Linked DNA regions of Anolis sagrei. The protein of the gene in region 1 purifies or fractionates together with the protein of each later gene. This does not show direct contact. Links are inferred from orthologs where the notes say so. Each region holds a gene or a part of one and is shown in the gene's direction. Other genes may lie near its edges.

Region 1 (7,523 bases):
CAAGGGTCTGGAGAACAAGCCCTATGAGGAGCGGCTTAAGGAGCTGGGCATGTTTAGCCTGAAGAAGAGAAGGCTGAGAGGAGATATGATAGCCATGTATAAATATGTGAGAGGAAGCCACAGGGAGGAGGGAGCAAGCTTGTTTTCTGCTTCCTTGGAGACTAGGACGCGGAACAATGGCTTCAAACTACAAGAGAGGAGATTCCATCTGAACATGAGGAAGAACTTCCTGACTGTGAGAGCCGTTCAGCAGTGGAACTCTCTGCCCCGGAGTGTGGTGGAGGCTCCTTCTTTGGAAGCTTTTAAACAGGGGCTGGATGGCCATCTGTCAGGGGTGATTTGAATACAATATTCCTGCTTCTTGGCAGGGGATTGGACTGGATGGCCCATGAGGTCTCTTCCAACTCTTTGATTCTATGATACTATAAGAACCTTTTGGCTATGGAATATGCTGCTTCGGAACATAGTAGAGTCTTCTATGGAGATTTTTTTTAAAGAGAAGAATGGCCATCTGTAGGGGGTGCTTTGATTGTGTGCTCCTGCATAGTAGGGGGTTAAACTAGATGGCCCTTGTGGTCTCTTCCAATTCTATGATTTTCTACAAAAGGCTGACATCATGTTGGAATGAAACTATGAATAACACTAAAACCAAACTTGGAAGCACTTATTTAAAAGTTAATGAAAAGACATTTGAAGATAACACAATTGAAGACTGTACAGAATGCTACAAAAAGGTGTTTCTTAAAAAAATATTCTCAAAAGCTGGGCTCTCCAGGCCAATGGATACTCCACCGCAGACATCAGAAGAGCTGCAAGACCAAGAACAAGCCACGAGAGTAAAGATGAAGATCCACCCAGAGGAAAAGTGTTCCTGCCATACATCAAGGGAACCACTGACCGCATAGGGAAGCTGATGAGGAAACACAACATGCAAACCACTTACAGACCCACCAAGAAAATCCAACAAATGCTACGTTCAGCAAAAGACAAGAGGGATCCTCTCACCTCTGCAGGAGTCTACTGTATACCATGCAGCTGTGGACAAGTCTACAGAGGGACCACCAAACGCAGCATTGACCAGACACGGATCAAGGAACATGAAAGGCACTGCAGACTACTTCAACCAGAGAAGTCAGCCATAGCAGAGCACCTGATGAACCAGCCTGGACACAGCATATTATTTGAGAACACAGAAATGCTGGACCACTCCAACAACCACCATGTCAGACTACACAGAGAAGCCATTGAAATCCACAAGCATGTGGACAATTTCAACAGAAAGGAAGAGACCATGAAAATGAACAAAATCTGGCTACCAGTATTAAAAAGCTCTAAAATTACAACAGCACAACAACAGAGAGGAAGCAAGCAGGGACATCTTAACACCTCTCAGCAAAAGATTTTCCCAGGCTCAGCCAGGCCTTCAAATGCTAATGAAGGTGGTCAGTTGAAACATTCACACCTAGCTCCAGCAGAGAAGAGCTCTTTGCCCCACCCCAGCCATTCCACAGATATATAAACCCATTGTCCTAATTCCAACAGACCTCACTACCTCTGAGGATGCGTGCCATAGATGCAGGCGAAACGTCAGGAGAAAATGCCTCTAGAACATGGCCCTATAGCCCGAAAAAACCCACAAGAACCTATTCTCAAAAGCTGTTGAAATAAATGCCTTGGCTTTGGATAGACATTGAAGTAGAGGCTAATCTTGGGGTCTCTTCTAACTCTATGATTCTATGATATCCTCATTCCATCCACATTGTGTTATTTTGTCAAATGACAAGAAATGGAAGAAAGGTATCTGTAAATTTGTTTGAACAAACATGCAAGTATCGCATATTTTCCTTGAAAAATAAGAAAATAATCAGCTGCCTGTACAGAAATTAATAAAAGGAACTAAACAATCTGCCTTTGCTGGGCGTACAGACGCTTTTCATACAATGTTTTAGTTTCTCCTCTAGGATTCTGAACATTTTGGGGGCTGCTTGTGTGTAGTTGTGATTTCATTTGTGTCAGAAGAACAGGGTGGGCAGCAAACACTGTGTTGGAAAGCAGATAACACCATATGTGTCAGTGCTGAGGAAAATATTACAGGCACTCTTGTGTACTTAGGACTCCCTCCATTCTAATACCAAAGATCATCGTCTGGAGCCTTCCACCTTCTTCGTCTGAGCAAGTCAAACTGTTCCCATTTTCTGTATTTTAGTTTCTTTAATGTGTTAGAAATTATAACGACACAACCACAACTAAAAGGTACAGGGAGTTCTCCCCCCTCCTGCACAATATCCACATCTACAATTGCCAGGATCATATGTGCTAGTATTGTTGTGTGCCTCCAACGCATTGCCAACTTACAGCGACCCAAAGGCAAGCCTCTCACAGAATTTTCTTGCCAAGGTTTGTTCAGAGCTAGTTTGCCTCTGCATTCCTCTGAGGTTGAGAGAGAATGACTTGCCCGAGGTTAATCAATGGGTTTCCATGGCTGAATGGTCTCAGAACAAAGTGATGTAGTTATTTGAATGTTGGACATGCAGACAGTCACACTACTCAATTGATTCCAAATCCAAAATATCTGAAAAATGAGATATAAGTTGCAACACATTGTTGGTTAGGAGTAGGATATTATGTACACATCAAAACCTTTGTATTCAGACAGGCTTTGAAACATGAAGGTGTTTAAGATCTAGTAAGGGGCGCTGTTTTGCTATTGCTAACCGCTCAGAGTCGCCTAAGGGCTAAGAAGAGCCGTAGATAAATATAGTAAATAAATAAACAAATAAATTTGTATTTACATGTAAATGTATCTTAATTTTACTTTAATGCAGATGTAATGTATCTTGTGTCCCCCCCCCCCTTTTCTTCTTCATTGTGTGATCCCCTTCTTTGGATCTGTAATTGGTTAAATGGACGAACCCAGAGAGCGCTCACTAACGCTTCCTCTTCATCTTGGAAAGAAGTGACGAGTGGAGTGCCACAGGGGTCCGTCCTGGGCCCGGTCCTGTTCAACATCTTTATTAATGACTTAGATGAAGGGCTAGAAGGCAGGATCATCAAGTTTGCAGACGACACCAAATTGGGAGGGATAGCCAATACTCCAGAGGACAGGAGTAGGATTCAAAACGATCTTGACAGATTAGAGAGATGGGCCAAAACTAACAAAATGAAGTTTAACAGTGACAAATGCAAGATACTCCACTTTGGCAGGAAAAACGAAATGCAAAGATACAGAATGGGGGACGCCTGGCTCGAGAGCAGTACGTGTGAAAAAGATCTTGGAGTCCTCGTGGACAACAAGTTAAACAAGTTAAGCATGTTTAGCCTGAAGAAGAGAAGGCTGAGAGGAGACATGATAGCCATGTATAAATATGTGAGAGGAAGCCACAGGGAGGAGGGAGCAAGCTTGTTTTCTGCTTCCTTGGAGACTAGGACGCGGAGCAATGGCTTCAAACTACATGAGAGGAGATTCCATCTGAACATGAGGAAGAATTTCCTGACTGTGAGAGTCATTCAGCAGTTGGAACTCTCTGCCCCGGTGTATGGTGGAGGCTCCTTTTTTGGAAGCTTTTAAACAGGTGCTGGATGGCCATCTGTCAGGGGTGATTTGAATGCAATATTCCTGCTTCTTGGCAAGGGGTTGGACTGGATGGCCCATGAGGTCTCTTCCAACTCTTTGATTCTATGATTCTATGATTCCTTCTTTTTGATTTATTTTTCAATTCCCTTTATTTCCTTCATTCTTTTTTCTGTTTGACTCTATGTTCTAAAGAAAAACTGTAATACATATTTATAAAAGAAAATGAGAAAATAAGATTACATTCCTGGGGTGGCCACCAGTTGACAGGAGACTTGAAAGTCCCCAGTGGGCAAGGAAGAGGTGGCCAAGGTGAGCCTGGAGTGCTCTCCCGCCATGAGGATGATCACCTATCTGGGCGGCTGGCTGGTCCCTCCTTCCTTCCTTTCCTGCCTGCTTGTGGTCACCAGAGGAGAGTCCTCCTCTTGGGCATGGGAGCTGGCACTGCCAGGGAGTGAGTGACTCACGCCAGCTTCTCCAATTTATTACGGCAAAGAGGAGGAGGAAGAGAAGGAGGAGGAACTTACTTACAGCAAACTCCTGCCTTGGCTGGGAGGGATGGCGAAAAAACACGCGCGTGGGTTGCGGACGCGCGTGTGATGGTCGCGGATCCTTCCAAGGCTGTAGGGCTTTGGAAAGACACTAAGGAGGCACCAGCCACGACTTGTCCCCAGAGCCAGAGTGCCTTTCGAGGGTGGAAAAAGCCAGGAAGAGGCGAAAGAAGAGAAGCTGAGGAGGCATCCTGATGCGCCTCCTCGACTGCGCACTCCAAAGCTCTCCGGTAAGTCCTTGCTGTGGAAATGTCTGTGAATGAACTGGCCACTCTAATGGAGTGGAAAAGACCCCTTGGAGATCATGAGGAATGGAGGTCCATTTTGGAATCAAATAGTACATGGATTGATTTTTTTATATATATATAAAAGCGGAAAGGGACCTTTCCTCTGCTTTTGGAAGTCTGCTCTCTGGAGAGTTGCTGGAAAGGAATCCTAGAAGAAGTTTGTTTCTTGATTGACTGGTCTACAAGGGGTTGGACTAGATGACCCTTGGGGTCCTTTCCAACTCTACCATTCTTGGGACTGCTGGGCGTGAGTGTGATTTATTTTCCTCTAACCAATTCATCACACTAGAGAATGAATCCACTTTAAATCCGGTTTCTGCCTCCTGCAGAATTCTGGAGTTTGTAGTTTTGTGAGGCTCCTAAAGGGTCCTCCCTAAACTACAAACCCCAGAATTCTGCAGGAGGCAGAAACCGGATTTAAAGTGGATTCATTCTCTAGTGTGATGAAGTAGTAAGACAGTGGTTCTCAACCTTTCTAATGTGGTGGAGGCTCCTTCTTTGGAAGCTTTTAAACAGAGGCTGGATGGCCATCTGTCAGGGGTGATTTGAATGCAATATTCCTGCTTCTTGGCAGGGGGTTAGACTGGATGGCCCATGAGGTCTCTTCCAACTCTTTGATTCTATGATAATCCAGTCCCTCATGTTGTGGTGACCCTCAACCATAACATTATTTTCATTACTACTTCATAACTGTAAATTTGCTATTGTTATGAATAATAATATAAATATCTGATATGCAGGATGTATTTTCCTTCACTGGACCAAATTTGGCACAAATATCTGATATGTCCAAATTTGAATACTGGGTTGGGGAGGATTGATTTTGTCATTTGGGAGTTGTAGTTGCTGGGATTTATAGTTAACCTACAATCAAATGAACTCCACCAACGATGGAATTGAACCAATGTTGGCACACAGAACTCCCATGACCAATAGGAAATACTGGAAGGGGTTGGTGGGCATTGAGCTTGAGTTTTGGAGTTGTAGTTCACCTACATCCAGAGAGCACTGTGGACTCAAATAATAATGGATCCAGACCAAACTTAGCATAGAATCATAGAGTTGGAAGAGACCTCGTGGGCCATCCAGTCCAACCCCCTGCCAAGAAGCAGGAATATTGCATTCAAAGCACCCCTGACAGATGGCCATCCAGCCTCTGTTTACAAGCTTCCAAAGAAGGAGCCTCCACCACACTCCAGGGCAGAGAGTTCCACTGCTGAACGGCTCTCGCAGTCAGGAAGTTCTTCCTCATGTTCAGATGGAATCTCCTTTCTTGTAGTTTGAAGCCAAATACTCAATATGCCCAAATATGAATATTGGTGGAGTTTGGGGAAATATACCTTGGCATTTGGGAGTTGTCATTGCTGGGATTTATAGTTCACCTACCATCAAAGAGCATTCTGAACTCCACCAATGATTGAACTGAACCAAACTTGTCACACAGAACTCCCATGAGCAACGGAACATACTGGAAGGGTTTGGTGAGCATTGACCTTGAATTTTGGAGTTGTAGTTCACCTAAATCCAGAGAGCACTGTGAACTCAAACAATGGTGGGTCTGGACCAAACTTGGCACGAATACTCAATATGCCCAAATGTGAACACTGGTGGATTTTGGGGGAAATAGACCTTGACATTTGGGAGTTGTAGTTGCTGGGATTTATAGTTCACCCACAATCAAAGAGAATTCTGAACCCTACCAATGATAGAATTGGGCCAAACTTCCCACACAGAACCCCCCGAAACCAACAGAAAATATTGTGTTTTCTGATGGTCTTTGGTGACCCCTCTGGCACCCCACTTGCAACCCTCCCCCAGGGGTCCCAACCCCCAGAGAAGATTGTGTGATAATGGCAGAAGTGTTTGAAAACACTGGCCAAAGTGATGGAGAAACTGGAGAGATTGGGCAGCTAGTCAAACTGGGTCCACCCTAAGCCCCGAGGAACTGAGGCAGTCAATGTCTTGTGTTGTTTTTTAGTCCTGTGTTATTGTCAGCTCTGTGAAGGAGAGAGTCCAAACTATGTACTCGGAAACAAACCCCCTTGCATCCTGTGGGATTTATTTCTTGGAAATCTTGAAGATTTTAGCATGAGCCACAGATATTTCTTGGTATGTGTCTACAGTCTCCCTTCTTAGGAATGGCATGAAAAGAGATTAATATAATTACTTGCTTAATTATGAATGTTGTCATCTATTCATGCCCTTTTAATTTCTGATGCTTCTCTATCGAACTGATAACCTGTAGTAATGGATAGTTGTCCATGAGCCATCCAGTATTAAGCATTAAGCGTAGCAATCCTATATGTGGTTATCTGGAAAAAACTTTGTTGATCTCAATGGCTTTTATTTGAATGGGCACAGAAATGTTTCCACTAAATTCCACTGATGTTAATGAGAGATTTAAACATTTGTTTCATCCTTATCCAATGACAGTAGGATTCAGAGTCATAGCCATATCGACAACACATTCTTTCTCTCAGTCTCAAAGGTGCCAAAAGATCCATTTGCATACTTATAATTGAGACTACAATTATAAGTATGCAAAGGGATCTTTTGGCACCTTTGAGACTGCGAGAAAGAATGTGTTGTCGAAAGCTTTCATGGCTGGAATCACTGGGTTGCTGTGAGTTTTCTGGGCTGCTTGGCCATGTTCCAGAAGCATTATCTCCTGATGTTTCTCCCACATCTATGGCAGGCATCCTCATAGGTTGTGAGATCAGGGAGCCCCCGGTGGCACAGTGGGTTAAACCCCTGTGCCGGCAGGACAGGTCGCAGGTTTGAATCCGGGGAGAGGCGGATGAGCTCCCTATATCAACTCCAGCTTCTCATGCGGGGACATGAGAGAAGCCTACCACAAGGATGATAAAAACATGAAATCATCCGGGCGTCCCCTGGGCAACGTCCTTGCAGATGGCCAATTCTCTCACACCGGAAGCGACTTGCAGTTTCTCAAGTCGCTCCTGACACAATTAAAAAAAAAAGTTGGAAACTAGGCAAATGAGGTTTGTATGTCTGTGGAATGTCCAGGAAGGGAGAAAGAACTCTTGACTGCTTGTGTGAATGTTGCAATTGGACACCTTGATTAGAGTGTAATGGCCTTGTAGCTTCAAAGTC
Region 2 (7,843 bases), on another chromosome or scaffold:
ATCTTCCAATTCAGACCTATTGAAATCCCACCATCCTCCACAGTAATTCTACAGAAAAGATGGATTTAATCCAGTGAAGACATCACACCAGGAGAAAGTACTTTCCTGAACCAATTTCTTATTTAGGTGAAGAGTACATGTCTGGTTTTTTTTGTTTGTTTTTTTAAGGAAAAGGCTGTATCACTATTGGGGAGTGGGGAGATATCATTATCAGGTGAAGATGAAGAAATGGCCCTGCCAAGATAAGAAGGGAAATGCCTATTTCATGACAAGAGTAATGGGCCTATCAAGAAAAGTGATGACAAGATGATAGATATGGAGGGAAACCTGCCAGCACTGTTTTTTCATATCTTATTCCAATATTGAGGGGAAACATCTGAGGAAACGACTGAACTTAATCCTCCAAATTCTGTTTCATTAGAGATCCAAACACACAGGATAGTTATGAAGATCACAATGTTTTTGTAAGAAGAGAGAAAGAGTTGAATTAATTCCACTGTGGAAGTATTGACCACGTAAATAAAACTTATGCCGAGGAACACATCTATACTGACTAACTTTGGCCGGATGGGCCCATTGTGCGGTAATGCAGGAAAAAACCACCTTAATGTGACTGCATTGGGTCAGTGTATATTCGCCCTATAAAAAGATTAAGAGTTTTTCTTGTGTCCTGTAAAATTAGAACTCAAGAATCACGCACACTCTAAAATTAATGCAGTTTGACACCATTTTAACTGCCATGGCTCAAGGTTATGGAATCTTGTTAATTATGGTAAGTATGTTGGGTGTTCTCCTGTTTAACAAAGCACTCCCCATGTAGTAATTTTAATAACAAAGTATTTCAGTTATGATGCTATGGTTCCACCTTGCTAGATATGATGAATTATAGGTTTCATCTGTAATAGTATCCATTTAATTTTATTTTTGTTTAATTTTATTTTCAAATATATATAAGCTTCTTTGGTGTCTGTGGGCTGAAAAGGAGAATGTTTTCATAGTCAATTTAAGTGTTTCCCTCCCCCCTTCCCCAAAGGCCCCCGAAATGATAATCAAACCCAACTTGGCAGTATTTTGAGGTTACGTTGTTGTCACATATAGGAGAGTGTCCAGCGCAGCTGAAGCACAGCCCATGCCCATCAGTTGTGTATATACAGAAGGGATACTCATGCTGCTTCTCTCCCTTGCATTATGGCAACTGCAGAATTTGTAGACCTGAGAACTAGACTGAAGCTACAAAATGAGAAGAAGCTGGATTTCCCTGCTGCTTTGGTGCCTGATAACTTCTGGTTTTGCTGAGAATACTCTGCCTAATTTCTTCTGTTCTTTTTCATTTTATTTTGGAAAACAGGGAAGACACTTTAGAGGACTGTATCATTAAGATTGGTGGATTATTTTGCTTTGCTCTCTTTGAGACTGGGAGGTCTTTGCACAAGTTATTGGTTGTTGGGTTGCTGTGAGTTTTCCGGGCTGTATGGTCATGTTCCAGAAGCATTCTCTAAGGAGAGACTGCTTCTGGAACATGGCCATACAGCCTGGAAAACACACAGCAACCCAGTGATTCCAACAATGAAAGCCTTCGACAACATATTATTGGTTGTTGATTGCAAATGGGGCTGCTGAAGTTTCTTTTTTGCCTTCTTCATGCAACAAGTTTCAGTTCAAGCCTGTACCAAATACGCAGGAATTAGGATTACTTTCCAAAACTTTTGAGGTGCATCTACTACAATTCCTTCTGTACTTATCTCACTTCTCCAAGATAATGTAGGGTGCCTAGTTTACAAGGAGAATGAATGGAGTTAGATGTCACTTGAACTCCCATGACTCAGGCCCTTTCCACAAAGCTGAATAAAATCCCATATTATCTGCTTTGAACTGGGTTATATGTCAATGTGGACTCAGATAACAAGTTCAAAGCAGATATTGTGTGATTTTCTGCCTTGATATTCTGGGATATAGGGATGTATGGAAGGGCCCTCTATGCTATGGAATCGCGGGGGTTGTAGTTTTACAAGGCCTTTAGCCTTCTCTGTCAGTGTGTTGGCTCCTCACTAAACTGCAACTCGTAGGGTTTCATGGGATTGAGCCATGGCAGTTAACAGTGGCATCATTTGCTTACAACTCCACAAAAGAAAATGGAATGATAATAATAATATGGAAAGGGTTCGGCTTGTGATTTTGTGATACGAAATCCAGCATATATATCTCGTTTGCTGTGTCATACTGTGTTTTTGTGTCAATAATCAATAATAATGTGCAGGTTCTTACCTACAAAGCCCTGAACGGTTTGGGACCCGCCTACCTTCATAACCACATTTCCTTTTACGAACCTACACGATCCCTTCAATCTTCCGGAGAGCCCCTTCTCTCGCTCCCACCCCCATTGCAAGTGCGACTTGTGGGGATGAGGGAGAGGGCCTCCTCCGTGGTGGCGGGAGCGAGAGAAGGCCCTCAGGAGCACTTTATTTTATCTTCTAGTGCAATTAAACCTTACTTTCACCCCTTTTCTAGATACACTACATGACCTGCTTACCCTGTGTTTTAAACTTTTAATCTTTGCAACTTGCCCTGGCCACTGTGATTTTATATTGTTCGGTCGATGTCACAGAGACATCACACTGGCAACAAAGATCCGCATAGTTAAAGCAATGGTATTCCCTGTAGTAACCTACGGATGTGAGAGCTGGACCTTAGGGAAGGCTGAGCAAAGGAAGATAGATGCTTTTGAACTGTGGTGTTGGAGGAAAGTTCTGAGAGTGCCTTGGACCGCGAGATCCAACCAGTCCATACTTCAGGAAATAAAGCCTGACTGCTCATTGGAGGGAAGAATAGTAGAGACCAAGATGAAGTACTTTGGCCACATCATGAGAAAAAAAGGAAAGCTTAGAGAAGACAATGATGCTGGAGAAAATGGAAGGAAAAAGGAAGAGGGGCCGATCAAGGGCAAGATGGATGGATGGTATCATTGAAGTGACTGGATTGACCTTGAAGGAGCTGGGGGTGCCCAAGGCTGACAGGGAGCTCTGGCATGGGCTGGTCCATGAGGCCACGAAGAGTCAGAAGTGACTGAACGAATTAATGACAACATATTGTTTGGTGTGTTTATTTATATTGTTTCGTATTTTATTTTTCTTATTATATTTTACTGTGTGTATTTATGTTGTATATTTGCTTTGAGGTACTGTTGGGCCTGGTCTCATGTAAGCTGCCCCGAGTCCCTTGGGGAGATGGTGGCGGGGTATAAATAAAGTTTTATTATTATTATTATTATTATTATTATTATTATTATTATTATTACTAGCTGTCCCCTGCCACGCGTTGCTGTGGCCCAGTCTGTGTATATGTGTTTTGTGTTTATTTATATTTGTGCATATAATAAAACTTTATTTTATACCCCGTCACGATATCCTGTGTGTTTGTGTAAATATGTGGTTTTGGGCATGTGTTGTAATGTATTTTTCATTTTTTGGCTTTTAAAGTCTCTTCTGCTGTGTTTTTCAGTGTTTTTATGAATGATGATCATTCATTGGCCTGATAAGTGTATTGTGTCCTAATCCATCCACTGGTTTTTGAGTTATGTTAATCCCACAAAGAACATTACATTTTTATTTATATAGACTAGCCATCCCTTGCCACGCGTTGCTGTGGCCCATCCTGGTGATCTGGAAAATAAAGTAATGAGGAAGTATTGGTTTCTAACATTTTCTTGCCCTGGTGAAGAGAGTTGGACTGGATGTCATTAAGTATTTTCTGTTGGTCATGGGGTCTCTGTGTGGGAAATGTGCCCCAATTCTGTCATTGATGGGGTTCAGAATGCTCTTGGATTGTTGGTGAACTATAAATCCCAGTAACTACAAATCCCAAATGTTTCTCCCAAACTCCATTCATATTTGGGCATATGGAATATTCGTGCCAAGTTTGGTCCAGATCCATCATTGTTTGAGTCTACAGTGCTCTCTGGATGTAGGTGAACTACAACTCCCAAACTCAAGGTCAATGCCCACCAAACCCTTCTAGTGTTTTCTGTTGATCATGGGAGTCCAGTATGCCACGTTTGGTTCAATGCCATAATTGATGGAATTCAGAATGCTCTTTGATTGTAGGTGAACTATAAATCCCAGGAACAACAACTCCCAAATGAGAAAATCAAAAACTTTTGAGTGAAGAGCATACATTGGGATGTTAGGTGTCTTGTGTCCAAATTTGGAGTCAATTCGTCCAGTGGTTTTTGAGTTCTGTTAATCCCGCAAACGAACATTACATTTTTACTTATATAGATTCTAAATCTTTATTTATAGCCCGCTTTTCTCCCACAAAGGGCCCAATGCGGCTTCCAACATATTAAACATCATGCAAAGTAGTAGTAGTAATCAAACGCATCTATAATAGTCCACACGCGTTTGCATTCCCAGTTAACCCTCCTTCCCCTCTTAACTGAAAGCCTTAACTGAACTAAAGAGACATGCGTGGAATCAAACCCTGCAATAGGAAGCCCCACCCCTCTTCACTGAAAGAGCGCGGGAACTTTTCGCTAAACAGCGACGAATGTCAACCCGGCTAAAATCACGTGACTTTTTGCGCGTCCTTTTACTTTCCCCGCCTCCCTCGAGTTGTGGCAGCCAATCAAAGTGGACTGCAGGTCGGGGAGGGACTGGTGTGTGGAGACTCCTTTTTGCGTCATGTGCGGGGACGTGCGACAGTTGCGGAATACGGCAGGAGAGCTTTGTGTGTGAGAGCGCGCGCTGGCTTGCCTGCGAGAGCGCGTGCGTGCTGCTTTTCGTCTCCCCCGCCCCCCCTTTCTTTCTTTTTTTTCCCAAGCATGGCAACGGCGGCGGTCGGGCGCGCGCTGGCGGGTTGCTGCCGCTGGAGCGCCTCAGGGAGGAGGGGGAAGCCCTTCGTGGGATCCAAGGTGAGAAGGGGAGGGGAGGCCTCGGAAGGCCCTTGCGTAGTGACGTCAGTGCCTCGGGGTCTCACGCCGCTTCTTCCTCTCACCCCAGGTGGCATTTCGTTCGCGGTCAGCGCGGGGGAAGGGGCGGAGCGTAAGGCTGCGGCTCTGGAGGCCAGGGTTTGAATCCCTGCTTAACCGTGGGAGCGCCCCGCGTGACCTTGAGAGAGTCACACATTCTCAGCCCCAGAAAACCCCGACTGAATTCGTTTCAGGGCCGACATAAGTCGGAAAGGACCCGAAGGCCCACAGCAACTCCTGGCCCAAATGCTGACTCTGCTCAACAGGCCCCCTCAGCATCAGCCAATCCCTGCAGGGAATTCTTCAGGGGGGAGATTAAAATTATTCTCATTTAGAATTACAAATTGACCCCTCCTTGCCCTGAATTCCGAAATCCAAAATGTCTCACCGTCCAAGGCCTCTTCCACACAGCTGAATAAAATCCCTCATTATCTGCTTTGAACTGGAATATATGGCAGTGTGGACTCGGGGCCTTTCTCTACATCCATATAATCCAGACTATCAAGGCAGGATAACCCACCTTACCTGCTTTGAACTGGTATATATTACAGTGTGGACTCAGATAACCTAGTTCAAAGCGGATATTGTTGAATATTTTGGCTTGATATTCTGGGTTTTATGGCTGTGTGGAATGGTGCTCAGATAACCCAGTTCAAACCAGATATTGTGGGATTTTCGGTCTTGGTATTCTGGGTTATATGGCCCTGCATTTGTCCACATGGGCGGCTGAGGTAGTGATGCCTTTGCTATCTGATGGGCTCAATGATCAGACATTTTGTTCCATGCTCAAAATGATTAAAAGCACAGATTCTTTGTTAAACTATTGGACCTTCCACACAGCTCTATATCCCAGAATATCAAGCAGAAAATCCCACATATCTGCTTTGAATTGGGTTATCTGAGTCCACACTCAGATAATGTGGGATTTTCTGCCTGATATTCTGGGACATAGAGCTGTGTGGAAGGGCCCTATGAGGATTGGAAAATTCCAGATCAATGTAGTTTCTGGTTGCCAAAGGGCCCTTCCACACATCAATATATCCCAGAATACCAAGGCAGAAAATACCACGATATCTGCTTTAAACTGGGTTATCTGAGTCCACACTGCCATATATTCGAGTTCAAAGCAAATAATATGAGATTTTATTCAGCTGTGTGGAAGGGGCTTGAGAGTTACTATTTAATTCTAAATAATGCTATACCCCATACGATGTTATACCATAAACTCAGTATTAATATTAATATTGAAATATATTGAAATATAGTAATTCAAAGCAAAAAAAAAAAAGGACAAACCTTACCTAAGGTAACAGGTTCACTGACATTTCTAAGCCGAAGAAACGGCATTGCCCGTAGACACTTCCAAGGTCATGTGACCGGAAAGACCACGAGGAGCGCTGTTACCTGCCTGCAGAAGCAGCGCCTATTGATCTACTCACATTTTCATGTTTTTGAATTGCTGGGTTGGCAGAAGCTGGGGCTAACAGCGGGAACGTGCCCCGCTCCTCGGATTCGAACCACCAACCTTTTGGTCAGCAAGTTCAGCAGCTCAGTGGTCTAAACCACTGCACCACCAGGGAGCCCATACACAGACACACTATATGTATGTGTATATATATGTGTGTGTGTGTGTGTGTGTATATATCCAACATTTAGGGAAGGGGAAAAATACAGAACGCTTTTCATCCCAAGAATTTCAGATATGTACAGTATGCTATAGCACTGTGTATTGTATCTGAAGAAGTGGGTTTATAGCCAAGAAATCCCCTGCTAGAATAAAAATAAATGATCCTTAAAGATGAATCTACATTCTCTCTTTCCCTTCTTTTTATAATAATAATTTTATTTCTTACCCGCCTTTCCTCATGGCTCAAGGCGGGTTACAAAACAATTAGAATACATAAACACAGCAAAAGCACCACAAATACACACACTAAACATACCTCCATAAAAGTTACATACCAAAACCTATCTCTAATACTGTAAGAAGCTCGTCTTTGCAAAAACATAAACATTCATATACATTCAATAGCATTCATATGGTGAACTCTCTCATTCTGCATCCATGCTGTAACTGAAGCTGTTATATTTGTCATCATGTTATAAACAAAGAGGGACAGAACATAGCATGATGGCTGCACTGCACTCTTGCTTCAGCCACCACCAGGAATATGGGGATAATTCATAATGTCTAACCATTTCCAAAAATGAACTTTACATTTTTCCTCTTGGTTTATGAGATACTGAAATCAGATTCTGAATTCAGCCAATTGACTGAATGAAACTTATTTTGCCCTGCCAAGTTCTCTTTGATTGAGTAGTTGTCGGCCTTCAGTTTGGTGATATGTTTCATTTTTTTTAAGTTTCCACCTGGATTGTATTTCTTCCTTGTTTGTAATGTTTGTAGCTCGAGTTATATGTGGTATTACACTAAGGATTGCACATTTACTATACAAATCGAGAAGCTACAATAGAAACATGGATATACATACACTCAGCAAACAGAATATTCACTGATATTCAGCTGGTGAGCTCTGTTAAATTATGTGACCCATGGTGGATCACAACAGCAATACCTCCATCATAAAATTTTGCTTGCAGAAGTAGAAGGCAATTTTTCAGAATTCTTCCATTTCCAAATGGCTGCTTATTAGTCTGAACACTTGAGCCAAAGTTTATAGGACATTCCAGAATATTGGGAAAAAGCAGAGGGAGTGGAAGGTAAAAATTGTTTTGGCTGCCAGTATAATATAATATCCCAGCACAATAATCTACACTTATGTTTAGAAGCTCCATCTGTACAATAATAGATGTTGGAGCAGCAGGAGACCAGGCTGCCCTCATTGAGCTTCTAAAAGCAATCCCCTGCCCTGGGTGCAA
Region 3 (8,055 bases), on another chromosome or scaffold:
GGTCTCTCACTGGGACAGTAAGATGACTAGGGCAATTGATACAATCGCTCCAGAACGCCCCCTCTCGAGTAACCGAGCTAAACCAGCCCCTTGGTTTACTGAGAAGCTGGCGGCGATGAAGCGAAATAAGAGGAGGCTAGAGTGCGTGTGGCGCCAGAGACCTACCAAATCAGCCCAAACACATCTGAATGCCTTTTTAAGGTCCTACGATGTGGCAATAGCGGCGGCGCAGAAATCATTTCTTGCAGCCGATATTGCATCTGTGAAGAATCGTCCAGCTGAGCTATTCCAAGTTGTCAGGGGTCTGTTAAATCCGCCGAAAAGCGAGATCCCTGATGACTCAGGGGCTCGCTGTGAAGCACTGGCTCGATTCTTCACAAATAAAGTTGCGTTGATTCAGTCGGATTTCGACGCCATATTAACAGCGGTCTCTGAGAATGTAGCACGAGCATCTGGTTGTCCGGTTTTATTGGATTCATTTCAATTGGTTCAGCTTGAGGATGTGGACAGGATCCTTGGGGAAGTGAGGCCTACCACATGCATCCTAGACCCCTGTCCATCCTGGCTGATAAAAGAAGCCAGAGGGGGCTTGGCAGAGTGGGTGAAGGTGGTAGTTAATGCCTCCTTACAGGAGGGAAAGTTTCCAGCAAGCTTAAAACAAGCTATCATAAAACCATTGCTGAAAAAGCTGTTGACATAGTAGGGGGTGGTGCGCTCCCTGTATGATGCTCCGGTGAGCAATCTGGCTGCTGCCCGTTGGACTAGTTAAAGCTTCCGAACAGTCTTCAAAGGCAACCCTGCGTAGAGTGTGTTGCAGTAATCTATTCGGGATGTAACAGCATGGTCATAACACTTGAATAACACTTTATTTATATTCTGTGGCTATCTTTATGTTTTATGTTTTGGACTATTAAAACAGCCAGAAAGTAAGTGCTGTTTTAATTAAATTGTTTAACAAAAACTGGGAGTTTGGTTCATCTCTGCCTAAATATTGGCAGAGCCCTAGCATCGTGACAGTTGCTGTACATTTTTTGGCCTACCACATGCATTGTATGGCCATGTTCCAGCAGCGTTCTCTCCTGACATTTCACCTGCATCTGCGGCTAGTGGTATCATCAGAGATTCTGTTGCTACTGAGACACGTGGAGTATATATGCAGTGTTCGCTCACTTAGCCCTCCTCGCCTTTTGCTTCACCAGGTGAAGAGAGAGAGAGAGCGCAGGAAAGAAAGGAAAGGCCTTCAAGGTAGGAGAGAGAGAGGACTGAGGAGGGAAAGCGCCTCGGAAAGCGGCAGCAGAAAAAACCCGCGAAACCGCGAAAATACTGTGATATATATTTTCAATTCATATTTAATTAAAAACCGCGAAACAGCGAGTCTGCTAAAAGCGAACCGTGAAGTAGCGAGGGAAGACTACACCTATGGAATGTCCTGGGTGGGAGAAAGGACTTGGTTAGTTGCAACATTCTTATTTACTTACTTAGGCAATCCCTTGTAGTCCAAGGATGATGGTCCTCCAAGTTGGGTGTACTGGAGGTGGGTCCATAGGTGACTGTGGAGCCCTATTCTTGAGCTACCTCTTCTCCCACAGTGAGAGCATCGGTTTCCAGGTGGAAGGTGGTCCCGGTCGGGGTTGGGCTTCCTCTTGGCATGTTTCTCTCTTTCGCCCTCCATTCATGCCTCTTCAAATTCTGCAGCACTGCTGGTCACAGCTGACCTCCAGCTGGAGCGCCAGGGCTTCCCAGTTCTCCGTGTCTATGCCAAAGTTTTAAAGGTTGGCTTTGAGCCCATCTTTAAATCTCTTTTCCTGTCCACCAACATTCCGTTTTCCATTCTTGAGTTTGGAGTAGCGCAACTGCTTTGGGAGACGGCGGTCAGGCATCTGGACAAGGTGGCCAGTCCAACGGAATTGAAGCAACATTCACACTCGCTTCAAAGAGATCCTCCCACCCGGGACATTATTCCATAGGGATATATACACTCCACTTGCTTCACTTCCAACAGACCTCTGAAGATGCCACTCGCCACAGATGCAGGCGAAACGTCAGGAGAGAATGCTGCTGGAAAATGGCCAGAAAGCCCGGAAAACTCATAGCAACCCATTTTCTAGCGTTACACCATTAAGCTGTATTTCTGGCATTGCGGAGGGATTGGTTGGTGCCTTCTGGTGTTAGAAGAATATTTTAGTTTTCTTGATGTTCAGTGAGAGGCCAAGTTCCCCACAGGCTTCTGCAAAGATATTATGCAACACTATTTTCAAGCTGCTGATGGTTGACTCCATGGATACGGAGAGGTGACCGTATTCAGGGAGTTATCATGAAAATGCAAAAAGTGCATTACATTAAGTAAACCTCAGGATTGTTATGCTTTTGCGCAAGCATTTCTCTTTCCCTGGCTTGATCTGTTGAATCCGTGTCCTGGAAACAATAGCCATGTTTATTGGCAACAGCCATTCTGACTGCCAGGACAGTATAAATAGACAGCCAAGTTTAGATAGGTTTCATTTTAGGAAATCCTGGATTTGTGCAAACTTAACCTGGAGAGTAACTTACTTACTTAGGCAATCCCTCATTGTCTGAGTAGGATTGTCTTCCAAGATCAGTGTCCGTAGCTGACTGGGGAGCCCTATTCTTGACCCGCATCTTCTCCCGCAGTGAGGGTGAAAGGGTCTTTGAGTGAAATTTGCAAATGCTAAGCAAGGGGCTTTGAATGAAATTAACAACAAAAGAGAAATATACCCTATCTCTGTAGAAAAGGAACAACACGGAAGAAAATGTTTTAAAAACAAGAGGCATCATGTAGAGGTCATACAAAGTTCAAGCTTACATAGGAAGTTGGGTTGTGGTTAAGTGCAAAGGTTGCAGTTAAGCGCAGAGTCTGCAGGTACAAGAAGGTACTTTCCATCAAAAGGTCAAGGGAGGGGGGCTGGAAAGAGAGTACTAGTAATCCCTTGTATTACTTGAGTATATAACGGTGTACAAAAGCCAAGGGGGTGTGGCAGTCTGTTAAAGCACAAACAAAAGTGCTGTCTGTCCGTCTCATGTCGATCAGCTTGAATAAATGGGGTCTCACATGAACCAATTAGACTGTGGATTTCTTCGAAAAGGGACCCTGCACCCTAAACCCTTGATCCCTTACAAGGGCATTGGTTTCCTGGAGGAAGGTGGTCCTAGTTGAGGTTGGCTTGATGCGCCTTCCTGTTGGCACGTTTCTCCCTTTCGCCCTCCATTTGTGCCTCTTCAAATCCTACAGAATTGTGTCCAATTCTGGGCACCACAATTCAAGAGAGATATTGACAAGCTGGAATGTGTCCAGAGGAGGGCGACTAAAATGACCAAGGCTCTGGAGAACAAGCCCTATGAGGAGCGGCTTAAGGAGCTGAGCATTTTTAGCCTGAAGAAGAGAAGGCTGAGAGGAGATATGAAAGACATGTATAAATATGTGAGAGGAAGCCACAGGGAGGAGGGAGCAAGCTTGTTTTCTGCTTCCTTGGAGACTAGGACGCAAGGGAACAATGGCTTCAAACTACAAGAGAGGAGATTCCATCTGAACATGAGGAAGAACTTCCTGACTGTGAGAGCTGTTCAGCAGTGGAACTCTCTGCCCCGGAGTGTGGTGGAGGCTCCTTCTTTGGAAGCTTTTAAACAGAGGCTGGATGGCCATCTGTCAGGGGTGATTTGAATGCTTCTTGGCAGGGGGTTGGACTGGATGGCCCATGAGGTCTCTTCCAACTCTTTGATTCTATGATACAGCACTGCTGGTGACAACTGACCTCCAGCTGGAACGCTCAAGAGCCAGGGCTTCCCAATTCTCAATATCTATGCCAGAGTTTTTAAGGTTGGCTTTGAACTCATCTTTCAATCTCTTTTCCTGCCCACCAACATTTCGTTTTCCGATCTTGCGTTCGGAGTAACCCTCTCTGCTTCATTTGGAAGAATGCTGCACTCGCAGAGCTCAGGCGGTGTTGTCTTTCAGTGTCAATGTTGACTTTTGTGGAGAGGTAGCTGCCAAGGGAGCAGAAATGGTCAAACTATTCTAATAGTGCTTGGTAATACTGGGAGTTCCGTGGAATGAAGAAAAGGTCACGGAAGGCCTTGTAAAATCTGCAATTCCCAGCATTCCACAGCATTGAACTGGTGCAGCTTAAAGTGGTATCAAACTGTGTTAATTCCACAGTGTAGATGCACCATTAACTGTAATTTGGACTGCAAAAAAGAAGTGATGCCAAGGATTAAATGGTTGCCTTTAAGAGTTGTGGATAATCTGGACTGCAGCTCCCATGAGCCACTTACTATGCTGGAAAATCTGCAATTCCCAGCATTCCACAGCATTGAACTGGGGCAGCTTGAAGTGGTATCAAACTGTGTTAATTCCACAGTGTAGATGCACCATTAACTGTAATTTGGACTCCAAAAAAGAAGTGATGCCAAGGGTTAAGTGTTTACCTTCAAGAGTTGTGGATAATCTGAACTGCAACTCCCATGATCCTTGCTGAATGGGGATGATGGGAGATGGAGGGTCAAAAGCTTCCCCATTGACCGCCTTATTGATTCCCTAGAATCAATAAACAAAAGGAGTGTAAATATATGCTGCGGCCCCTTTAAATCAGGCTGGTTGCTTCCTTGTGGGCGGGGCTACAAGGGAGAAGGGGCGGGCCATACGCAAATCAAGACTGACGTACTGTATTTCTCCTTCCCTTCCGTGTGGGCGTGGCTACAAAGGAAGGGGGCGTGCTGTATGCAAATACAGACTGATGTCAGCAGTTGAGAGGGACGAATGGGCGTGGCCCTGAAGTTTTGAGTGACAGCGCCTTCTAGCCAATGGAAGCGTGCATCCAGTGGGAAGGCGGGACTTCCTTCCCGGATTTGTGAGCGGTGGAAGCTCGAACTCGGCGGCCAGAAGCCGAGCCGGCCGCCGCCATGATCAAGAAGTTCGACAAGAAGGATGAGGAGTCTGGTAAGAGACGGGCTGGGAGGGCTGGCGTCGCTAAGGTGGCAAGCCTTTCGAGGTAGGCCCCGTTGCTAGGCAGATTGGCAAGCCCCTTGGGATAAAGGCCAGGCGGCCCCGTACATAGAGAGGAACTTAGGCCTCAAGCCACGCCCCAGGGCTGAAGCCACGCCCCCAGGGGCGTGTCTTCAGAGGAGAGCATGAAAGAGGCGTGTCCTGCTTGTCCTTAATAAATAATAAAAATAATAATAGGAATAATAATAATAATAGTAGGAATAATAATAATAATAATAATAGGAATAATTAATAATAGTAGGAATAATAATTGTAGGAATAATAGGAATAATAATAATAATAGTAGGAATAATTAATAATAATAATAGGAATAATAAAAATAATAAGAATAGGAATAATAATTGTAGGAATAATAATAATAGTAGTGGTAGGAATAATAATAATAATAGGAATAAATAATAATAATAGGAATAATAATAATAGGAATAATAATAATAATAGGAATAATTAATAATAATAGTAGTAGTAGGAATAATAATAATAATAGGAATAATAATAATAGTAGGAATAATTAATAATAATAATATGAATAATAATAATAGGAATAATTAATAATAATAATAGTAGGAATAATAATAATAATAGGGATAATAATAATAGTAGGAATAATAATAATAGGAATAATAATAATAGGAGGAATAATTAATAATAATAATAATAGGAATAATTAATAATAATAATAGTAGTAGGAATAAGTAATAATAATAGGAATAATAATAATAGTAGGAATAATTAATAATAATAATATGAATAATAATAATAGGAATAATTAATAATAATAGTAGGAATAATAATAATAGTGGTAGGAATAATAATAATTAATAATAATAGTAGGAATAATAATAATAATAATAATAGGGATAATAATAATAGTAGGAATAATAATAATAGGAATAATAATAATAGGAGGAATAATTAATAATAATAATAATAATAGGAATAATTAATAATAATAATAGTAGTAGGAATAAGTAATAATAATAGGAATAATAATAATAGTAGGAATAATTAATAATAATACTAATAATAGGAATAATAATAATAGTAGGAATAATTAATAATATTAAATAATTAAATAATTAATCAAAGCCATGGTATTCCCTGTAGTAACCTACGGATGTGAGAGCTGGACCTTAGGGAAGGCTGAGCGAAGGAATATCGATGCCAGATCAGCCAGAACCATTGAGAGGCCCAATGTTTACGCAGGTCAGAAAGAATTCGGCAGTTAAGGCCAAAAACAGGGGGGAGTAGGAACCAGTTTTTGGGACTTAAATTGAGCTCTTAGAGAATTTTCTTTAGACCAGGCACTGTTTGGAATCAAACTCAAGTCTCCTGGATATTCCTTTTTCATGTGGCTTTGTCTCTAAGGATTCACGGCTTTTCAAGTGGATTAGCAGTGGCTAGTCTGTTCATGGGTTTATTCTAAAGTCTTTTTGGTTATTCATTGCCTGTGGATTATTTCTGCGAGGTTGGGACATGGATATAATTCCTTTGTTTGGACACTGCTTATGTTGCTGCTTTATTTGGCTTTTTGCTTATTTTTATAATAAGATGAAATTTTTATAATCATCTCTTTTATTGGTTCCAGTTATTCTTAAAATAAAAAGGACTCTTCCTTCATTCAAGGTGTGGTGTAATTAATGATTAGAGAGTCCCGTTCCTGTTCTAGGATGCAACACCTTCTACCTACTGGCTGTTAGGAATTGTGGGAGTTGAAGTCCAAAACACCTGGAGGGCCCAGGTTTGCCCATGCCTACCGTAGAGCCAGACCGGAAGATGTGTGGCTCCTTTAATGGGGATATTAGCCAAAGATTCTTCCCCATCTCTATTTATTACTGGTTAAACCCCTGTGCCAGCAGTACTGAAGACCGACAGGTCGCAGGTTCGAATCCGGGGAGAGGCGGATGAGCTCCCTCTATCAGCTCCAGCTCCTCATATGGGGACATGAGAGAAGCCTCCAACAAGGATGATAAAAACATCAAATCATCCAGGCGTCCCCTGGGCAACATCCTTGCAGACGCCCAATTCTCTCACACCAGAAGTGACTTACAGTTTCTCAAGTCACCCCTGACACGACCAAAAAAAACCAAAAAACTGGATAATGTGGATAATGATGTGCTTCTTTCCCTTCTTCCTCAGGGAGCGGCTCCAACCCTTTCCAGCATCTGGAGAAGAGCGCCATCCTTCAGGAGGTGAGGCCGGGCCCTTTCATTGCATCTCAGAAGTACAGGATGTGCGTCCTTCAACTCTCCCTGTACGTATTTCCTGCATTATTTTTGTCCATCTCCCCATAGGCTCGGATCTTTAACGAGACCCCTATCAACCCACGGAGATGCCTGCACATCCTGACCAAGATCCTTTACTTGCTGAACCAGGTATTTATTTATTTATTTACAGTATTTATATTCCGCCCTTCTCACCCCGCAGGGGACTCAGGGCGGATTACAGTGTACATATGCATGTGAAACATTCAATGCCATAGACAAACAACATATATAGACAAACACACAGAGGTTATTTAACATTCCACCTGTCGCACACCAAGGCTGGAAGCACACCTTTAAACCCACAAACACTCCAAAGTTCTTTAGCAAATAAACAGTTTATTTGAATAAATGCAAGCAGTATCAAGAAAGGTGAAAAAGGCAAGTAAAAAGTTGTATAAGAAAGTCTAAAAACCATCTGACCCAGCAGGTCAGCAAATACAGTCCATCAATACAGCATAGTTGATACTTATTTCCACAGCAAAATCCACGAATGCATAGTCCTTAAAACCCACAAAGGATAATGTCCAAAGTCTCTTGAAAAGCCAGGAAACAAGGTTGCACAGATCCAAAATCCACAGAAGAATCAATCAGGAAAACATTCACCAACTGCAACTTGAACATGAGTCTTGAGCAGAGAGTTCCATGAATCTTGACATGACATACATACAAGACTTGACTGGTAACTGACGTTGCGCTCACTGAAGGCAAAGCTGTGAAAACCCTATATTTATTCAAAAAGACCTACACAAAATGCATTCCGATTCCCTT
Region 4 (8,605 bases), on another chromosome or scaffold:
ACACACTAATCAATGAATGATCATACAAGATTCACTCTACCTTTCACACTCAGAATAAGAGTAGATTCCCCATAAAGAAGAAACCTTCAGGCCCAGCTGATCTTCTTGGACACTTCACCATATCTCTGAATCAGTTTTTGCCCCCAAAAACGATAAATCACCTGACAACAAATGGAACTTGGATAATTTCCATTTATTCAGGGCAGGAAATAAAGACCAGCTCACATGTCAAGTCAGCTGATCAAATGACAGAAAGCAGAAGAGGTGAACCCTGGGAAATGCAGTTCTAAAAAGCAGGAAGAACGAGCACATGGCGAGTATGGGTGGCGATCTGCTTCAGTGATGAGAAATGTCTTATTTGGTGGCTATGGATGAATGGTTGCAATTTTGTTAGCTCCATAATGTTAGATTGCCACTCTTAACTGCTTAGCATTAAATAACACTTTGATCAATGTGTTTTACACTTGTTTGTTTTTTCCCCAAAAGAAATTCCTCTTAGCAGAAATAATAAATAGTTCTTAGCTGTCTCACTCTTTATGCCTCTGCAAAACCCCCCTAAATCTTTCTATTTGTTATAAACATTGAAATTAGCATTTATTTGGGCACCTTGTCTTGTAACTCTCTTCACTATAATAGCTGGTTGAAATTGCTTTACAATCTCAAAGGTAGTAAACTGCATTAAGACAAATTTGGGGTGCATCTATTCTGTAGAATAAATGCAGTTTGAGATCAAGCCTTCAGATAATAATTATAGTTCAATAATAGATAGGAATTATGTGCAATGACTACTGGAACGGCCCCGGATTACGATTGTGGGTGGTGTACTTTTAACAGTGAATGTAATGTTTTTAAATGTTTTAATGTGCTTTAATTTTAATTCTTGGAGCCCCTGATGACGCAGCGGGTTAAACCACTAAGCTGTTGAACTTGCTGACCAAAAGATCGGTGGTTCAAATCCAGGGAGTGGCGTGAGCTCCCGCTGTTAGCCCCAGCTTCTGCCAATCTAGCAGTTCAAAAACATGCAAATGTGAGTAGATCAATAGGTACCGCTCCAGTGGGAAGATGACGGCACTCCATGCAGTCATGCCAGCCACATGACCTTGGAGGTGTCTACAGACAACGCTGGCTCTTCAGCTTAAAAACAGAAATGAGCACCATCCCCCTGAGTCAGAAAGTACTAGACTTAATGTCAGGGGAAAACCTTTACCTCTGAATTGTAATTCTTAATTAAATGTTTATTTTAATTTCATGTTGTTTTAAGGCATCACACAGTTGCCTATATGTAAAGCTGCCTTCAGTCTCCTTCGGGGTTGAGAAAAGCGGGGTATAAGTAGGGTAAATAAATAACTCACTTTCACGGTCATGACTCAGTGCTATGGAATCCTGGGAGCTGTAATTTTACATGGTCTTTAACCCTCTCTGCCCAAGACTGTTGGTGCTTCATCAAACTACAAATCCTGGGATTCCACAGCATTGTGCCAGAGCAGTTAAGTAGTGGCAAATCTAATTCATTTTACAATGTAGAACCAACCAGGGCTGCATATTTTCTTCCCCTCTCTGTTAAAAGCTTGAAGCAAGTTAGTCAAGATCATTTAGTTGATAGAAAAGATAATCTTTTGATTTGGTCTGCAATTGTTTCTAGGTTTTGATATGCTAGAAATTGTTAGAAACTAATACATTTTGTCTTCATTTGAGTATTTCTTCTTACAGTCACAATTACAACCTTACTTCATGCCTCTATAGGGGGAAGGGACCTCAGAAACACAAGAAGCAGACCATGGGTGCATCTATATTTTAGAATTAATGCAGTGTGACACCACTTTAACTACCATGACCCAAAGTGATGAAATAATGAGATATGTAGTTTGATGAGGCCCCAGCACTTTTTGGCAGTGAAGGCTAAAGGCTTTATAAAACTAGAACTCCCAGGATTCCGTAACAATGAGCCATTGCAGTTAGTGATATCAAACCACATTAATTCTAGTTTTTAGATGCATGCTTGATTTCCCAACCATATATTTCCAGGTGCTGTTGGATCTTCAGCTATTAGATATGAATCTTTTTTAACATGAAGCCCATTTATCCACCTTCTTGGGGTCCGGTGGATTGTGCTCAAAGGACTCAAGAACTTCTAGGAATGAATGGCTTTCTTCAATTTCCTTGTTCTGATCATTTTTTCTTATCACAATGTATTTTAAGGTAGTAAAAAAGGCCACTTTGGAGTCTATATGGGAAGATATAAATTAAATATTAAATAAATAACAAATAATCTCCGGGAATGGACCTGACAGTGACCTAAATGAACTTAGTCTAGATGGGGTTTTTAATTTATTTTAATCTATTGAATGTTTAATTGTGTTCTTTGTTTGGATGCTAATTGCATTTATGTGGGTTATAAAATAATTTTTATTAGATGCGATTATGTTTATGATGTTGTTTATTTTTATTGTGTGTTATGTTTTTGCTTTGAGTCCTGGCCCAGGACAAAAAGTGGGATAGAAATAAATAAATAATAAAGTAAATAAATAAACCAGGCTTTCCAAACATTCATTTGCTTTCATTCCAGACTGATTTATGAAGGAAATCCGTTTCCAATCCAATTAAAAAAGCCTGTATGCAGAAGGTTGTATATTTTTGGTGTATTTTTCTGGGAGGAGCGGCACCGCTTTCATCATATCCTCAAAAGTGTCTATGCGCTGCCTGCAAAGAATTACGGTGGGCCTTCAGGATCCACAGGGGTTTGGTTTCAGGACTCCAATGAATACAAAAATTCACAGCTCATGATATACACAGATAGTCAAATGGTGTTCCTTAAAACTGAATTGGAAAGTCAAGGTTCGCCTTTGGGGATTTTTTTTATATGGAGTATTTTCAAGTTGATGATCAAATCCATGGATACAGAGGAGCCAACTGTATTGCTTCAATTCAAACTGGCCCCCACCTTGTTGAAGCCACAAATCATGGCATGTGTACTTTGGGGAGGAAATCATGTAGCCCTCCAAGCACTGAAATCCATTCACTATTCACCACTGGCTCTCCATCCAGCAGCATTTGGGAAACTACACGTTTCACCCAGCTAAGGCTGTATCTGCACTACAGAGTTCATGTAGTTTGACATCACGTTAACTGCTAGGGAATCCTGGAGTCACTTACAGACCCACTGCAGTCTCTATCTTTGGAAGACCATCATTCTCTGATAATGATGTGTTTTAGCCTTCTCTGCCCAAAAGTGCTGGTGCTTCACCAGGATTCCCCTGCATTGAGACAGGGCAGTTAAAGTGAGGCCAAACTATAACAATTCGACAGTGCAGGTGCACTTTTAGAAGCCTACCATTTATGGACATCAATTAAAATCTCTTTAGCATAGGGTGCATTGACACTGTAGTTTGACACCACTTGAACTTGGTGCTACAAAATACTGGGGGCTGGGGTTTAGGCTTCGACAATGGGGGGTAAAGACCTTTTAGAACTATAAAATTACATAGCATTGAACCATGGCGGTTATAGTGGCGTCAAACTGCACTAATTCTACAGTATAGATACTCCCATAAACAGACCTCTTGTCTGTCTCAACTCACACTTACAGGCTGGAATCATAGAATCATTGAGTTGAAAGAGATCTTGTAGGCCATTCAAACGATCTTGACAGATTACAGGGATGGGCCAAAACGAACAAAATGAAGTTCAACAGTGACTAATGCAAGATACTCCACTTTGGCAGGAACAACGAAATGCAAAGATACAGAATGGGGGACAATGCCTGGCTCAAGAGCAGTACGTGTGAAAAAGATCTTGGAGTCCTCGTGGACAACAAGTTAAACATGAGCCAACAATGTGATGTGGCGGCAAAAAAAGCCAATGGGATTTTGGCCTGCATCAATAGGAGCATAGTGTCTAGATCTAGGGAAGTAATGCTACCCCTCTATTCTGACTTGGTTAGACCACACCTGGAATATTGTGTCCAATTCTGGGCACCACAATTCAAGAGAGATGTTGACAAGCTGGAATGTGTCCAGAGGAGGGCGACTAAAATGATCAAGGGTCTGGAGAACAAGCCCTATAAGGAGTGACTTAAGGAGCTGGGCATGTTTAGCCTGAAGAAGAGAAGGCTGAGAGGAGACATGATAGCCATGTATATAGAGGTGAAAGGAAGCCACAGGGAGGAGGGAGCAAGCTTGTTTTCTGCTTCCCTGGAGACTACGATGCGAAACAATGGCTTCAAACTACAAGAAAGGAGATTCCATCTGAACAAGAGAAAGAACTTCCTGACTGTGAGAGCCGTTCAGCAGTGGACCTCTTTGCCCCGGAGTGTGGTGGAGGCTCCTTCTTTGGAAGCTTTTAAACAGAGGCTGGATGGCCATCTGTCAGGGGTGATTTGAATGAAATATTCCTGCTTCTTGGCAGGGGGTTGGACTGGATGGCCCATGAGGTCTCTTCCAACTCTTTGATTCTATGATTCAGTCCAACCTCCTGCCAAGAAGGAAAATCGCATTCAAAGCACAGTAAAATGGGAGTGCAAATAACTCCCCTTTACTCAGCATCCACTCCAATTAGAAGTTCTGAAAAGCTGAAATCTTTGCTCACTAGTCTCTCATGTTGTCTTTCTCTGCTGCCTTCAGCCCCTCCCTCTGCTAGCTGTGCTTTAACAGCCAAGAGTAAGCCAACACGAGAGAGAAAAGACAAAAGGCTCCATGTGCGTCGAAGGAGCCAGGGGCGCCGCCTAGGCCTCACTCAGAGAGGACGCAGGGGGCGGGGCGAAGCGTGGCCACGCCCCTCCCGAGACTGGCTGGCCCCTCTTCACTGCGGCTCAGAGACGGGCGGCTTTTGCTTGCCTGTGACGTGCGCGTCACCGACGCCGTGCGCGCGCCTGAGGGAGCCCTCGGCTCCGTCCTTTCTTTGGGCGCCATTTTGAATGCAGGATTTTCCTCTTCGGACAAACGCCGTCCTGTCCATTCACGTCTAAAATACAAGACTAAATGTTTATGATTTTTAAAAAGGGTATCCCAGAACACACTTCTGTCACATTTAGTGCGATTTGAAAATCATTTTCTGCAGAGGGGAGAGAGCGCGGGGCGAGGATCCCATCATTCCCTTCCGGGTTGCGCCCTAACGGACACCCGAGCATTTGAACGCAATAAGGAAAAATATGGTTTAAAAACATGCTGTTGGAAACAAGAACCCCCGCCATTTTAGCTCATGCATACGAAATGATTAGTCTATAGCTGAGGTATGACTGAGGTATAACTGAGAAGAGAGGGAGGGCGAGTGGGTGGTGCCGAGGGTCCCTTCCGGGTCAGGGTCGGCGGCCATTTTGTGGCGGCGCTTAAGTGCGGGAGGAAGGGCGGGCCCAGGCTCATTCGCTCGTGGCGCCGCGCGGAGATGGCGGCTCACAACTGAGGCCCCGCGCCGCGTGCTTCCATCCGGGTCCCTGAGAGAGGGCCTCCTCGCCCGTTGTCGTCGTCGTCTTCGTGGTCCCCTTCGTCCTCCTCCTCCTCCTTTCGGCCACCATGAGCTACGGGCGCCCGCCGCCGGACGTGGAGGGCATGACCTCGCTGAAGGTGGACAACCTGACCTACCGCACCTCCCCGGACACGCTCCGCCGCGTCTTCGAGAAGTACGGCCGCGTGGGTGACGTCTACATCCCCCGCGACCGCTACACCAAGGAGAGCCGCGGCTTCGCCTTCGTCCGCTTCCACGACAAGCGCGACGCCGAGGACGCCATGGACGCCATGGACGGGGCCGTGCTCGACGGCAGGGAGCTCCGCGTCCAGATGGCGCGCTACGGGCGGCCCCCCGACTCCCACCACAGCCGCCGCGGGCCCCCGCCTCGCCGATACGGCAGCGGAGGAGGATACGGGCGGCGCAGCAGGAGGTGAGCCAGCGGCCCTGGGGGGGGGGGGGGCGCTTGGGCCTCCCTCAAGCACGGGCCTCAGCCAGCCCACGGAACACAGCTAGAGCGGGAAGGGGTGGGATTCATGACAAGTTACAGTAATAATATAATAATATAACTTTATTTCTCTCCCCGATGAGACTCAAGGCGGTTTCCAACATATAAGGCCAAACCTTGAATGGCCAGAAAGGAAAAACGAAGCAGACCAATTAAACCTAAAACCCGACTAAAACATACAGAAAATACCTACAAACCGGTTTCAGTATAGCTCCCATCAGACAGGTTCAAAATACCAATGGCCAAACTATAAAAGGGCTGGGCAAGGGATAGTGCAACCGTGTATTAAGTGCTGAACAAAGTACTAACGGTCTAGGAACTAATCACTCTCAAATATGCTGTTTACAAAAAAAAAAGTGGTCACGGGAGCTGTAGTTTCAACGTTTTTCTTTGCCAAATGGCGCTAGTGTCCCAGGATCCCACCGCCTTCAGCCAAACTGCAGTCATTCTACCTTGGGAGGGTTTTTTTCCTGACTCATGTGAGGTGTGAAGCCCAACAGGGAGGAAAAAGAAACCCTTACAGTCTAGTGTGGAAATATTTTTTTCTGTTATAATAGGGTGCTTTTTTTGTCTTTGCCTGCAAGAGGAAACCTTTTAGACCCGTGCGCAAATCATTCAAACCACGGCAAGGCTGCCCTTCTTGAAGGGGTTGGATTGGGTGGCCCTTGGGATCTCCTCCAACTCTGTTTCTATAATACGTTTCTGCTTGTATAGAACTGAGCTAATTCTACAGTGTAGGTGCGCTCTTAGTGCCTGGCAGCATGTGAAGAGTGATTCATGGAGGGGTGTCAGGCAGGAAAAAAGGCAGAAGTGAGGTGGCGGGAAGACAGGAAAGAGAAAGTTGAGCCCCACGGCAGCCACGTGACAAGAGGAAGGGGAGCCAGCCTGCCTGCGTCCCCGCCCTTGTGAATGAAACTCCCCATTCAAAGCAACTAGGGCAGGCATGGGCGAACCAGCTGTTGTGAATTGTTGTAGTTGAAGTCCAGAACACCTGGAGGGCCAAGGTTTGCCCATCCCTGAACTAGAGTGTTGCAACATTACACAAACCCACCCACCTTTCTGCCTGTGTTTCCTTCCCCCTCAACCTCTCTCTCTCCCTTCTCTTGCAGCCCCAGGAGGCGCCGTCGCAGCCGATCCCGGAGCAGAAGCCGGTCCCGCTCCCGGAGCCGATCTCGCTACAGCCGCTCCAAGTCCCGCTCCCGCACCCGGTCGCGCTCTCGCTCCACTTCCAAGTCTCGCTCAGCCCGAAGGTCGAAGTCCAAGTCCTCCTCCCCATCTAGATCTCGCTCCCGGTCCAGGTCCCGCTCCCGGTCGAGAAGCCCACCACCGGTCTCCAAGAGGGAGTCCAAGTCGCGCTCCCGTTCCAAGAGCCCGCCCAAGTCTCCCGAAGAGGAAGGAGCCGTGTCCTCTTAAGGCAATGGTAAGGTGCCTTCTGGGCGGCTGGCCCTGCATGTGTGCCCCTTTTTTATAGCAATTGGGGTCCTTCCTGGAGTATTTTAGAGCCTGTAAAAGCTAATGGGGCATGTTGTTTACTTCTGAGGAGGGTGCTTTAGTATGTAGTTAATGAAAGGATACCTTCTTTTGTTGCTCTTGATAGCTTGCTTTTTAATATCTATTGTTTTGCGACACTACCTATTTCTGAAAATGACTATTTCTTACTGTTCTTACCCAACATCTGCATTTTCCCCTCTAAAGCTGCGGTCTCCTGTTTGCTTAAAGAATATTGGCCAGTATTGCAGATTTTAACTGATTTGGCTGATCCTCCAGGGACCAGTTTCTGTGGGCGTGTGTTGGAGCAGGTTTGTCTTTACTTGTTAAAGATACACTATCCTGTTAATGGGCAAACGGGCCTGTGGCCACACAGACAGGTCAATGGCTTCCAATGTTGTTAGAAACCAAAGCTGAAAAGCAAATCTTTATGGAAACCAGGCGCTTCTACACTGCAATTGCGGGCTCAAAAGATGTGCTAGGTGGGCAAAATGGATAGTGTGTCTTTAACCTCCCTCAAATTTTTGGTCCTGTTTTTTTCAAAGGAAGGGGGCCTAGAACTGTTATGGAAATGCGGCTGTTTAATGATTGTTCAAGATTTTGAATAAGAACTCATCTGTAATTTAACATACTTGGGCTGGTCTTGTATTAAGTGTAGTTTGAGCATTCCTCAACACGATGTGCTGTGGTTAATGGAGAATCCACAGTCTTTGCCTCAAAAAGTCTCATTGCACCAACTATTAGTGCCTGGTGGGAGGTGGGTAATGTATACTCAGATGTGTCAAGACAAGGCCAGCACTTACTAGGAAAGGATCCACAAAATGTGAAAGGGGGGAGAGGATTTTCCTTGCTGAAGTCTACATTTTTCAAACCTAGATACATCAAATAGACGAGAAGTCGACATAAAGGATGCCTTTGGAGGAGAGCCGATCATTTGAATCGCCGGTCCATTGGAAAGACCCCAGCACAAGCAACCAGCTATTGAAAAAGGTTATTTTGTAACACTTTGTCTAAGTTTTTATTTTACTTTTTGAGCCTCAGATGGCAGACTATTACTTTTATGTGCCATTTTGTTGCTATTATTCAAATTTCTTGTAATTTAGTGATGTGATCGACTACAGATTTCATTATTGGCTTGGATATTTGAGGTAAAACTTCATTTTTGTTCAT

Evidence for each region.
Region 2: the proteins of ESR2 (region 1) and MRPS9 purify together in Homo sapiens (affinity purification with mass spectrometry; 3 studies listed by BioGRID and IntAct, with this or other methods). This does not show direct contact. The link is inferred for Anolis sagrei from reciprocal best matches to the Homo sapiens genes ESR2 and MRPS9.
Region 3: the proteins of ESR2 (region 1) and COPG2 purify together in Homo sapiens (affinity purification with mass spectrometry; 3 studies listed by BioGRID and IntAct, with this or other methods). This does not show direct contact. The link is inferred for Anolis sagrei from reciprocal best matches to the Homo sapiens genes ESR2 and COPG2.
Region 4: the proteins of ESR2 (region 1) and SRSF2 purify together in Homo sapiens (affinity purification with mass spectrometry; 3 studies listed by BioGRID and IntAct, with this or other methods). This does not show direct contact. The link is inferred for Anolis sagrei from reciprocal best matches to the Homo sapiens genes ESR2 and SRSF2.

The regions. Positions count from the first base shown.
Region 1 is NC_090021.1:330,451,843-330,459,365, forward strand, and holds the start of ESR2 (estrogen receptor beta), read left to right. Parts: upstream 1-4,092; 5' UTR 4,093-4,352; intron 4,353-7,523.
Region 2 is NC_090023.1:105,747,581-105,755,423, forward strand, and holds the start of MRPS9 (small ribosomal subunit protein uS9m), read left to right. Parts: upstream 1-4,696; 5' UTR 4,697-4,816; coding exon 4,817-4,906; intron 4,907-7,843.
Region 3 is NC_090025.1:194,474,635-194,482,689, forward strand, and holds the start of COPG2 (coatomer subunit gamma-2), read left to right. Parts: upstream 1-4,833; 5' UTR 4,834-4,917; coding exon 4,918-4,954; intron 4,955-7,159; coding exon 7,160-7,212; intron 7,213-7,314; coding exon 7,315-7,395; intron 7,396-8,055. UniProt on the Homo sapiens protein: The coatomer is a cytosolic protein complex that binds to dilysine motifs and reversibly associates with Golgi non-clathrin-coated vesicles, which further mediate biosynthetic protein transport from the ER, via the Golgi up to the trans Golgi network.
Region 4 is NC_090022.1:119,937,420-119,946,024, reverse strand, and holds the start of SRSF2 (serine/arginine-rich splicing factor 2), read left to right. Parts: upstream 1-5,315; 5' UTR 5,316-5,507; coding exon 5,508-5,872; intron 5,873-7,056; coding exon 7,057-7,360; 3' UTR 7,361-7,367; intron 7,368-8,311; 3' UTR 8,312-8,605.